Arabidopsis thaliana: one gene and its partner. The protein of the gene in region 2 interacts with the protein of the main gene of each other region in a biochemical or structural test. Each region holds a gene or a part of one and is shown on either strand. Other genes may lie near its edges.

What was found. Proteins that work in one complex are often made in the same cells at the same time.
Region 1: the proteins of LTO1 (region 2) and HCF164 form a complex in vitro, tested with the Arabidopsis thaliana proteins (one study listed by BioGRID).

What each region holds. Positions count from the first base shown.
Region 1 is NC_003075.7:17,509,273-17,513,052, reverse strand, and holds HCF164 (Thioredoxin superfamily protein), read left to right. Parts: upstream 1-1,688; 5' UTR 1,689-1,822; coding exon 1,823-1,978; intron 1,979-2,050; coding exon 2,051-2,293; intron 2,294-2,367; coding exon 2,368-2,471; intron 2,472-2,934; coding exon 2,935-3,217; 3' UTR 3,218-3,432; downstream 3,433-3,780. Other genes in the region: AT4G37210 (Tetratricopeptide repeat (TPR)-like superfamily protein), read right to left, coding at 1-121, 349-677; AT4G37190 (plasma membrane, autoregulation-binding site, misato segment II, myosin-like, tubulin/FtsZ protein), read right to left, coding at 3,541-3,780. UniProt on the Arabidopsis thaliana protein: Thiol-disulfide oxidoreductase that participates in various redox reactions in the chloroplast. Mediates the reduction of PSI-N in the thylakoid lumen.
Region 2 is NC_003075.7:16,942,741-16,946,340, reverse strand, and holds the start of LTO1 (NAD(P)H dehydrogenase (quinone)s), read left to right. Parts: upstream 1-1,663; 5' UTR 1,664-1,718; coding exon 1,719-1,817; intron 1,818-1,893; coding exon 1,894-2,179; intron 2,180-2,459; coding exon 2,460-2,716; intron 2,717-2,812; coding exon 2,813-2,925; intron 2,926-3,075; coding exon 3,076-3,223; intron 3,224-3,307; coding exon 3,308-3,547; coding exon of another isoform or gene 3,548-3,600. Other genes in the region: SEN1 (Rhodanese/Cell cycle control phosphatase superfamily protein), read right to left, coding at 358-432, 513-566, 667-737, 828-1,024, 1,117-1,268. UniProt on the Arabidopsis thaliana protein: Thiol-disulfide oxidoreductase catalyzing disulfide bond formation of chloroplast proteins and involved in redox regulation and photosynthetic electron transport.

The DNA of each region.
Region 1 (3,780 bases), 570 kb from region 2:
TTCTTTCTTAGGCATGTTCCCAAGTGGATCAGCTTCAGCTTGAGCCTTTGCCAGGAGAGCTAATCCATATCGATAGTATGCGTTTATACACTCAGCATCAAGTTCACCATAATGTGCAACCCTAACCATACCATTAAAACAAGCAATGTTTTCATTAGATCCTTTGATAAAAGGACCAGATACTAAAGAATTCAGTCGAGAGAACACACAATTGAAACTCAACTAAAAATTCAGAACCATGATTAGATCATTCGAGCATAAACTAGATTCAGAAACATCTGAAACCCTAAACCCTTGATTGAGAGGTTCTCGACTACAAATTCTCAAATGAATCTCCCAAAAAGATACCTGATTTCGAGAGCACGGCTGAAGCAATCGACGGCTTCAGCGAAATCGTTCTCTTTCAAAAACACAGAGCCTTTCTCCGTCAATTCCTCAGCGAACTCAAGCGTCTTCTCACGCTCCTCATCACAAACCTCAGTAGCAGCACTGTCAGCGGCGTTGTTGTTATTAGCGTCGTTGTTACAAGTCGATTCAGTGCCTCCCTGAACAACCGATTCGACGGTGGCTTCGATTGAGGCTAGGTTAGGTTCTAGGGTTTGCGCAATCTCCGTCGCCGGCTCGGTTAGGGTTTGTATCACCGAAGCTTCCGACGCAGAAGCTGATTCTTCAACCATCGCGGATTGAGATTTTTTCTGGGTGAATTTGAATTTCGAAGAACAAAAACGTCAAATTTGTTGAGAAGAGTGGAATCGTATTAAAACCCTCTCTTCGCTTTTTTTGGCGGACTTGAAAATGAAAACCAAAATTAAAGAATTAGGGGAAAAAATATTTTTATGTTTTAATTAAAATATTCACGGTAAACACTAAAATATACGAATAAAAAATGCGTATGTTATCCCACTAACGGTTAGTCTAGCTAAACTGCTCCGCTTTTGTTCAAGCTATTTGACTCATGACGCACATAGGCCATAGGAAAATTGTTACGCTGTAAAAAAATATATGACCGTTGTAACGGAAAAGGGTAATTTTGTCTTACCGAAGTTGTCTTACCGAAAAGGGAAAATTGTTAGCTAAAAGTTTTTCTATTATATAAAATATTTTTATTACAAAAATGTTTTTAAACTTAAATGTTAAATTTAAATACTGGAACGGTTAGATTTAACATCCCGTCTTTTAGGTATGTAACTCGTGCGTTATCATAAGTTCAACATGTTTTCTCATATTTAAATTTAATTTTAAGATTTTTTCAAAAATAATCTGTTTTGATATTTTAAAGCTAAAAGTTTATTAACAAAATGTTTTCAAACTTAAATGTTGAAATTTAAATACTTGAAAGCGTTTAGCATCCTGTTCTTTTAGTCTGTAACTCCTGCGTATTATAAGTTCAACATATTTTCACATATTTAAATTTAGTTTTAAGGCTTTTTTAAGAATAATATTGTAAGTAATCCGTTGATTTTTTTTTTTCGTCAAGTAATCCGTTGATTAAACGCAAATTTTAATTATATATATTCTTTTTATTCAAAACTTAAATGTTAAATTTCAAAGATGTACAAACTAAACTTGATATTCTGTCCTTAGAAAAAATTACCACTTAGCTTTATAAATATTAAAGTTTATCAAGGTAAAAAAAAACACTTTAAGTGTATGTGGAATATAAAGAGTGACTCATTTCATATTATTTTGTAACAAAGTTTAAATCTTTGTAACAAAAAGCGTGTGGCTCTAATAGCTTGGTTAGACGAAGAAGCTACTACTCCTTCGATAATAACGATCTGATGAGTAGCAGTTTTGTCATCTCTCTCACTCTCTCCCGACGATGGCTCGCTTAGTATTTTCTTTAAACCTTCCATCTAGTCATGGATTCAATCTCAGTCCTCGAAATCTTCAATCTTTCTTCGTTACCCAAACAGGAGCTCCACGATTTCGCGCTGTTCGTTGCAAACCAAACCCAGAATCTTCCGAAACCAAACAGGTGAAAATTTCGATTCTTTTTGAAATGGGTCGAAGGCAAATTAGCTAAAGTTTTAGCCTTTACCTGATTCAGGAGAAATTGGTAATAGATAATGGTGAAACTTCATCTGCATCGAAGGAAGTGGAATCATCATCATCTGTTGCTGACTCTTCTTCTTCTTCTTCTTCGGGATTCCCTGAATCTCCCAATAAGGATATCAATAGAAGAGTTGCGGCTGTTACTGTAATCGCGGCTTTGTCGTTATTTGTATCGACAAGGCTCGATTTTGGGATTTCTTTGAAGGATTTAACCGCTTCTGCGTTGCCTTACGAGGAGGTTTGTTTTTGGATTCTTCATCTGTGTTTCTATTCTCATAGAATGCTTAATGAGTTTTGTGAATGGATATTTAGGCGTTATCGAATGGGAAGCCGACTGTTGTTGAGTTCTATGCAGATTGGTGTGAAGTTTGTCGAGAACTAGCTCCTGATGTTTATAAAATCGAGCAGCAATACAAGTAATGAATCGTCTTTTATGTGATTTTTGATCAAAATCAATCTCCTTTCAAAATGAAGCCTTTATATATAGATGAAAGACAAGCTAGAGCTTTCTAGTTGCAGAACGGATTAGGGAACTTGTCTGGAGATTAAGATGAGCATTGCTAGAGCTTCGAAAAACATGGATTAAGGAATCTTGTCTTGGAATGGATTTAGCTAATGAACTAGCTAGAGCTTTAAAGATTCTAGTTGCAGAAGAGTTCTTATTTTGTGTTGGTTTAATGGATTAGGGAACTATCTTTAGGATTGGATTGTTGGCTATGTAGATAGACGCTAATGAAAAAGGTAGAGCTTTGAGATTTTAGTTGCAGAGGCAAACCATTAATCTCATGTTAGTTTAATGGAACATGGAGCTTTTTAGACACTAATTTGACGTTTTGTAGGCTAAAGTTGATGTTTACTTGTGGTGTTGTGATTTCGCAGGGACAAAGTTAACTTTGTGATGCTAAATGTGGACAACACGAAATGGGAGCAAGAGTTGGATGAGTTTGGTGTTGAGGGTATTCCTCATTTCGCCTTCCTCGATAGAGAAGGGAACGAAGAAGGTAATGTGGTCGGGAGGCTCCCAAGACAGTATTTAGTTGAAAATGTGAATGCGCTTGCAGCCGGGAAACAATCAATTCCTTATGCCCGAGCCGTGGGACAGTACTCAAGCTCAGAGTCTCGTAAGGTGCATCAGGTTACTGATCCCTTAAGCCATGGATAAAGAGAGTGGCATCACTATCATGCTTCTGGCAGATGATAGAAGTTGTTTCTAACTCTATAGTGCACAAAAAAAGTAGACAGGAAAGGAAAGTCGGAAAGTAGCAATGTTTCAAATTGATCAAAAGAATCCCATTGGAACTATAAATGTTGATATCGGTTTGTTCTTGTTTGACAATGCTTCTCTCCTATGCCTCCAATATCAACTCTCTCAAGCGACTTACACAAAGAAGATAAGTCAATCAACAACGGGTTTGACCATAAAGTTTCAAACCAAACCAGAAAAAATCTTTAAAGATGATACAACATATTCGTTTTAAGACATAACTAATCTGAATCCGAAGATTCGAAAAACTGAGGATTCAGCTCAGATACCATTTTTGACAGATTCTCCCTCATTTCCTGCAATTCTTCTCTCCCAAATCCCCAGGCCCTAACCACATCTGATCCCATGGCTCCCCACTGGATCCCAAGTTTCTCTAAATTCCCCATTCTAGTTTCCAAAAATGGCAAAATTGCGCTTGAAGATCTCCATCTTGTTGCTACTGGTATGGAGTGAACATCTAG
Region 2 (3,600 bases):
TAAATTTAACACTTAAACTTAAAGAATAATAATTTAAAACCAATTTAAAACTTAAATTTTAAGAAAGTAATTAATAATTTTTAACTAAAATAATGTTAATTTCACTATTATCATTTAAAAATTAGTTTAAGTATTAAAATTTTAAAACGGCGAAAACTAAACGTGTGTAGGCATGCATCCCCGTCCTTAATTGGTCCGTAAACTTTGTGGTGTTCGAAGTTCGGTAAAGCTTTCACCCAATATAGATTTGACAGTTAAACTATGTTTTAGAGAATAATAATGATGATTGATACTTGCGTTGAGAACATCTACAGAATTTATTGATAATTACAGGAGGTGATATGGCTATGATTGTTTTCACTCTTCTACCGGCAGCTCATTCTCTGTCCAAGCGACGTATCCTCCAGCAATGTCTGTGATCGCCGTGAAGCCCTGTACATGTGGCGACATTAAACCCGCTTGTCCTAAACCGGATAACGGCTATATAAATTGAAGTGATATTACACACATACAGCAGTGAGAAGATCAGTTGAGGCCATAAATGACATTTGACCGCTCTCACAACCCTGCAGAAGTAGTTTATTACGTGCATCAGAGATTTTGTGAAACAAGGGATTGTCTTCATAGGGGTTTATTTAGTCTCTGAATGTCAAAACTGAAACTTACGATTATGATTTCATCGTGTTTCCTGAAGTGGGACGAGACCTGTCTTAGAAAACTCGGGTTCTTAACCATTCCTGCAACGGTTTTGGCTTGGTGTTAGTTTTAAGTTGTTTTTCATTTTCACTCTTTCTCATAAGAGGAACCTTAAGGTCGGTGATGAAAACCTGATCCGACTCTGTACATGTAAGGTACGTTGATGGCTCTAGTCGGATGTCCGATGCTGAATTCGTCTGGTGTCCTCACGTCGAGATAGCGGTATCCTGCTTGAGCTAGCTCACGCGCCACTCTTACTGGTACTGACGTAGGAATTTTAACTGCCTCTGCTGCAACATTTCCTCTGCTTGTTGTCGTTGCTTTCCTCCTTGAGCAAGAAGTTAATACTCAGATTTAATATTTATTCATAATCTAAAATCAGATAGAGAAGGCGATTCTCGTCGTTGATTGCTAGCTTACCATCGGAAGTTTGAGTTTCGAAGATCAGCTACAATAACACCTCTTCGTGTTGGTAATTGGCACTTGAAAGATCCACATGTTTGTAGAGGTGGAGAAATAGCCGATGACCAGTTTCCAATTCGTGATGTTGTGTTAAAAGCAGTGGTTTCCATTTTCACTTCTTCTTTGAAACTTCTTTTAGAATGCTTTGATGCTACTTAGATACTTCTTCTCTTAGTTCTATAGCGTTTATATAATACATACAGACACAAAGGTATGGGTGTCACGTCAGCAAGTTTTATGTCCGATCTTCGAGTCTCTATCATTTCTATGGATAAATTCAATTATGTACCAAAGTCGATTCCAAAATGTAAACAATGCGTAGATAATGAATCATGATAAGTCCAACTCGGTGCCTCGTGAGTCGTGTTGAAGAGGATAACTTGCTGACTCGGACGGATAAGAAGACCGTAAGGCCCAATTGTGATAAACTAATTATGGATCCAAATTATCGTATTTGGGCCTCGTTTAGGCCCAATATTGAAACAAGTGGCTGAGATAGTGGAGCGGAGGAGAGAAGATGATGAAGTTAACAATGGTGGAATAGCGATTCTTCGACGACGATGATGGCGAGGTTTGTTTCTGTGTCGTCTTGTCAGTTTCATTTCGGCTTCCGTGAGGTTTCTCCTCCGTCGGTAACTTCTTATCCTAGACGATTCGAGGTAAATTCTTGTCATGTGTTTTCTTCAGTGACAGTAGTGTGTGATCGGTCATTTGAAGTCAGATGTTCTGAATTAGGTCTCTGATCGGAGATTTCCTGCGATTCCGATTAAATGTTCTTCATCTGAGCCGGAAAACGGTGAGGATTCGGCACCGTCGCTGTCTTCCTCCTCCTCATCGTCTACAAGTGAAGTATCTACTAGTAACAGTTCGACATACAACTGGTACACCGGAATCGGCGGTATTGGGATGTTAGACACTGCGTATTTGACTTACCTCAAGGTCACTGGCTCCGATGCGTTTTGCCCTATTGGTGGTGGCACTTGCGGTGATGTCCTCAACAGCGATTATGCCGTCGTTTTCGGTATTATCCATCGCTTTATTGATTATAGCGTTTGATTTATGTAGCTAATTGTCCTCTCTTTTATAGTAGGCATGATTAAATACTCGCATGTGATAGTCTCTGTGAATCTTTGCTTGAAGCTATATCATTTAGGAGCTTTGGTACTTAGTATGCATAGAATTGTTAGAGTTAAATAGCATGCTTCACTCCACTCTATGTAGTGCTTTGTCTTCGTTGTTTGTCCAACATTGCATTGCAGGTAAGTTGAACTCAATGAAAATCCTTTTTTACATTTTGCCAGGTGTTCCTCTTCCAGTGATTGGATTTGTTATGTATGGCGTAGTAACCGCTCTAAGTGCAGAGCTTGGGGAAGGGAATCTACCTTTTGGAATCAGTAAGAGCAATGGGCGTTTCGCGTTATTTGGGATCACGACTGCAATGGCATCTGCTAGTGCATATTTCCTGTATATCCTTAGCACAAAACTCTCAGGATCATCATGCCTGTATTGTCTGGTGTCTGCTTTCTTATCATTTAGTCTATTTTTCCTCTCTGTAAAGGTATCCCTTTATTTCCATTTCTTTTTTTTTCCTGATGTTGACTCAAGATAACTTCTAAACTTCGGATTATGATAATGTGCTCCATGCATGTGGTAGGATGTGAAGTTGCAAGAAATACAGCAAGTTGTAGGATTGCAGATATGCTTAGCAATCATAGTAGTTGCCTCCTTGACTGCTTCTTACAGTACTGCTCAACCAATCCCTTCACGGTAATCAAAGTTCATAGTTTTCTTTGGGGAGTCCCGATAGAAATTTTAGTCATTTGTAACGAGTAGTGAACAAATAGCTTCCGAAAGATGTATGAGTCTTATCAGGTGGTCTCTTTTAATCCCGATCGTTTTTTGTTTCACTCCTTCCAGCTCTGGTGACATTGAACTGCCATATTTTAGAACAGAGATCAGTTCATCATCGAGCCCTTATGCTATTGCTTTAGCAAAACATCTAAACTCCATTGGAGCTAAAATGTATGGGGCATTCTGGTGTTCTCACTGCTTAGAGCAAAAAGAGGTAGTTAGTTCATTCATCACCTGTTTGCCAAGAATCAGTTTTATGCTTTTATTATATGTTCATTATAGTTCCATCCATCTACAGATGTTTGGAAGAGAAGCGGCAAAAGAACTGAACTACGTGGAATGTTTTCCGGATGGATATAAGAAAGGAACTAAGATACTCAAGGCATGTGCAGATGCTGCGATCGAAGGATTCCCAACATGGATAATAAATGATAAGGTGAGTAAATCCTCTGAACCCCTTGTACATTTCATCACATGTCAGTACCTATTTCACCTCTTTTATAAATTAGGTCTTAAGCGGAGAAATAGAACTCGCTGAACTAGCGGAGATGACTGGATTCAGCCTTGATCAGGCAAATGAGACCAATCAAC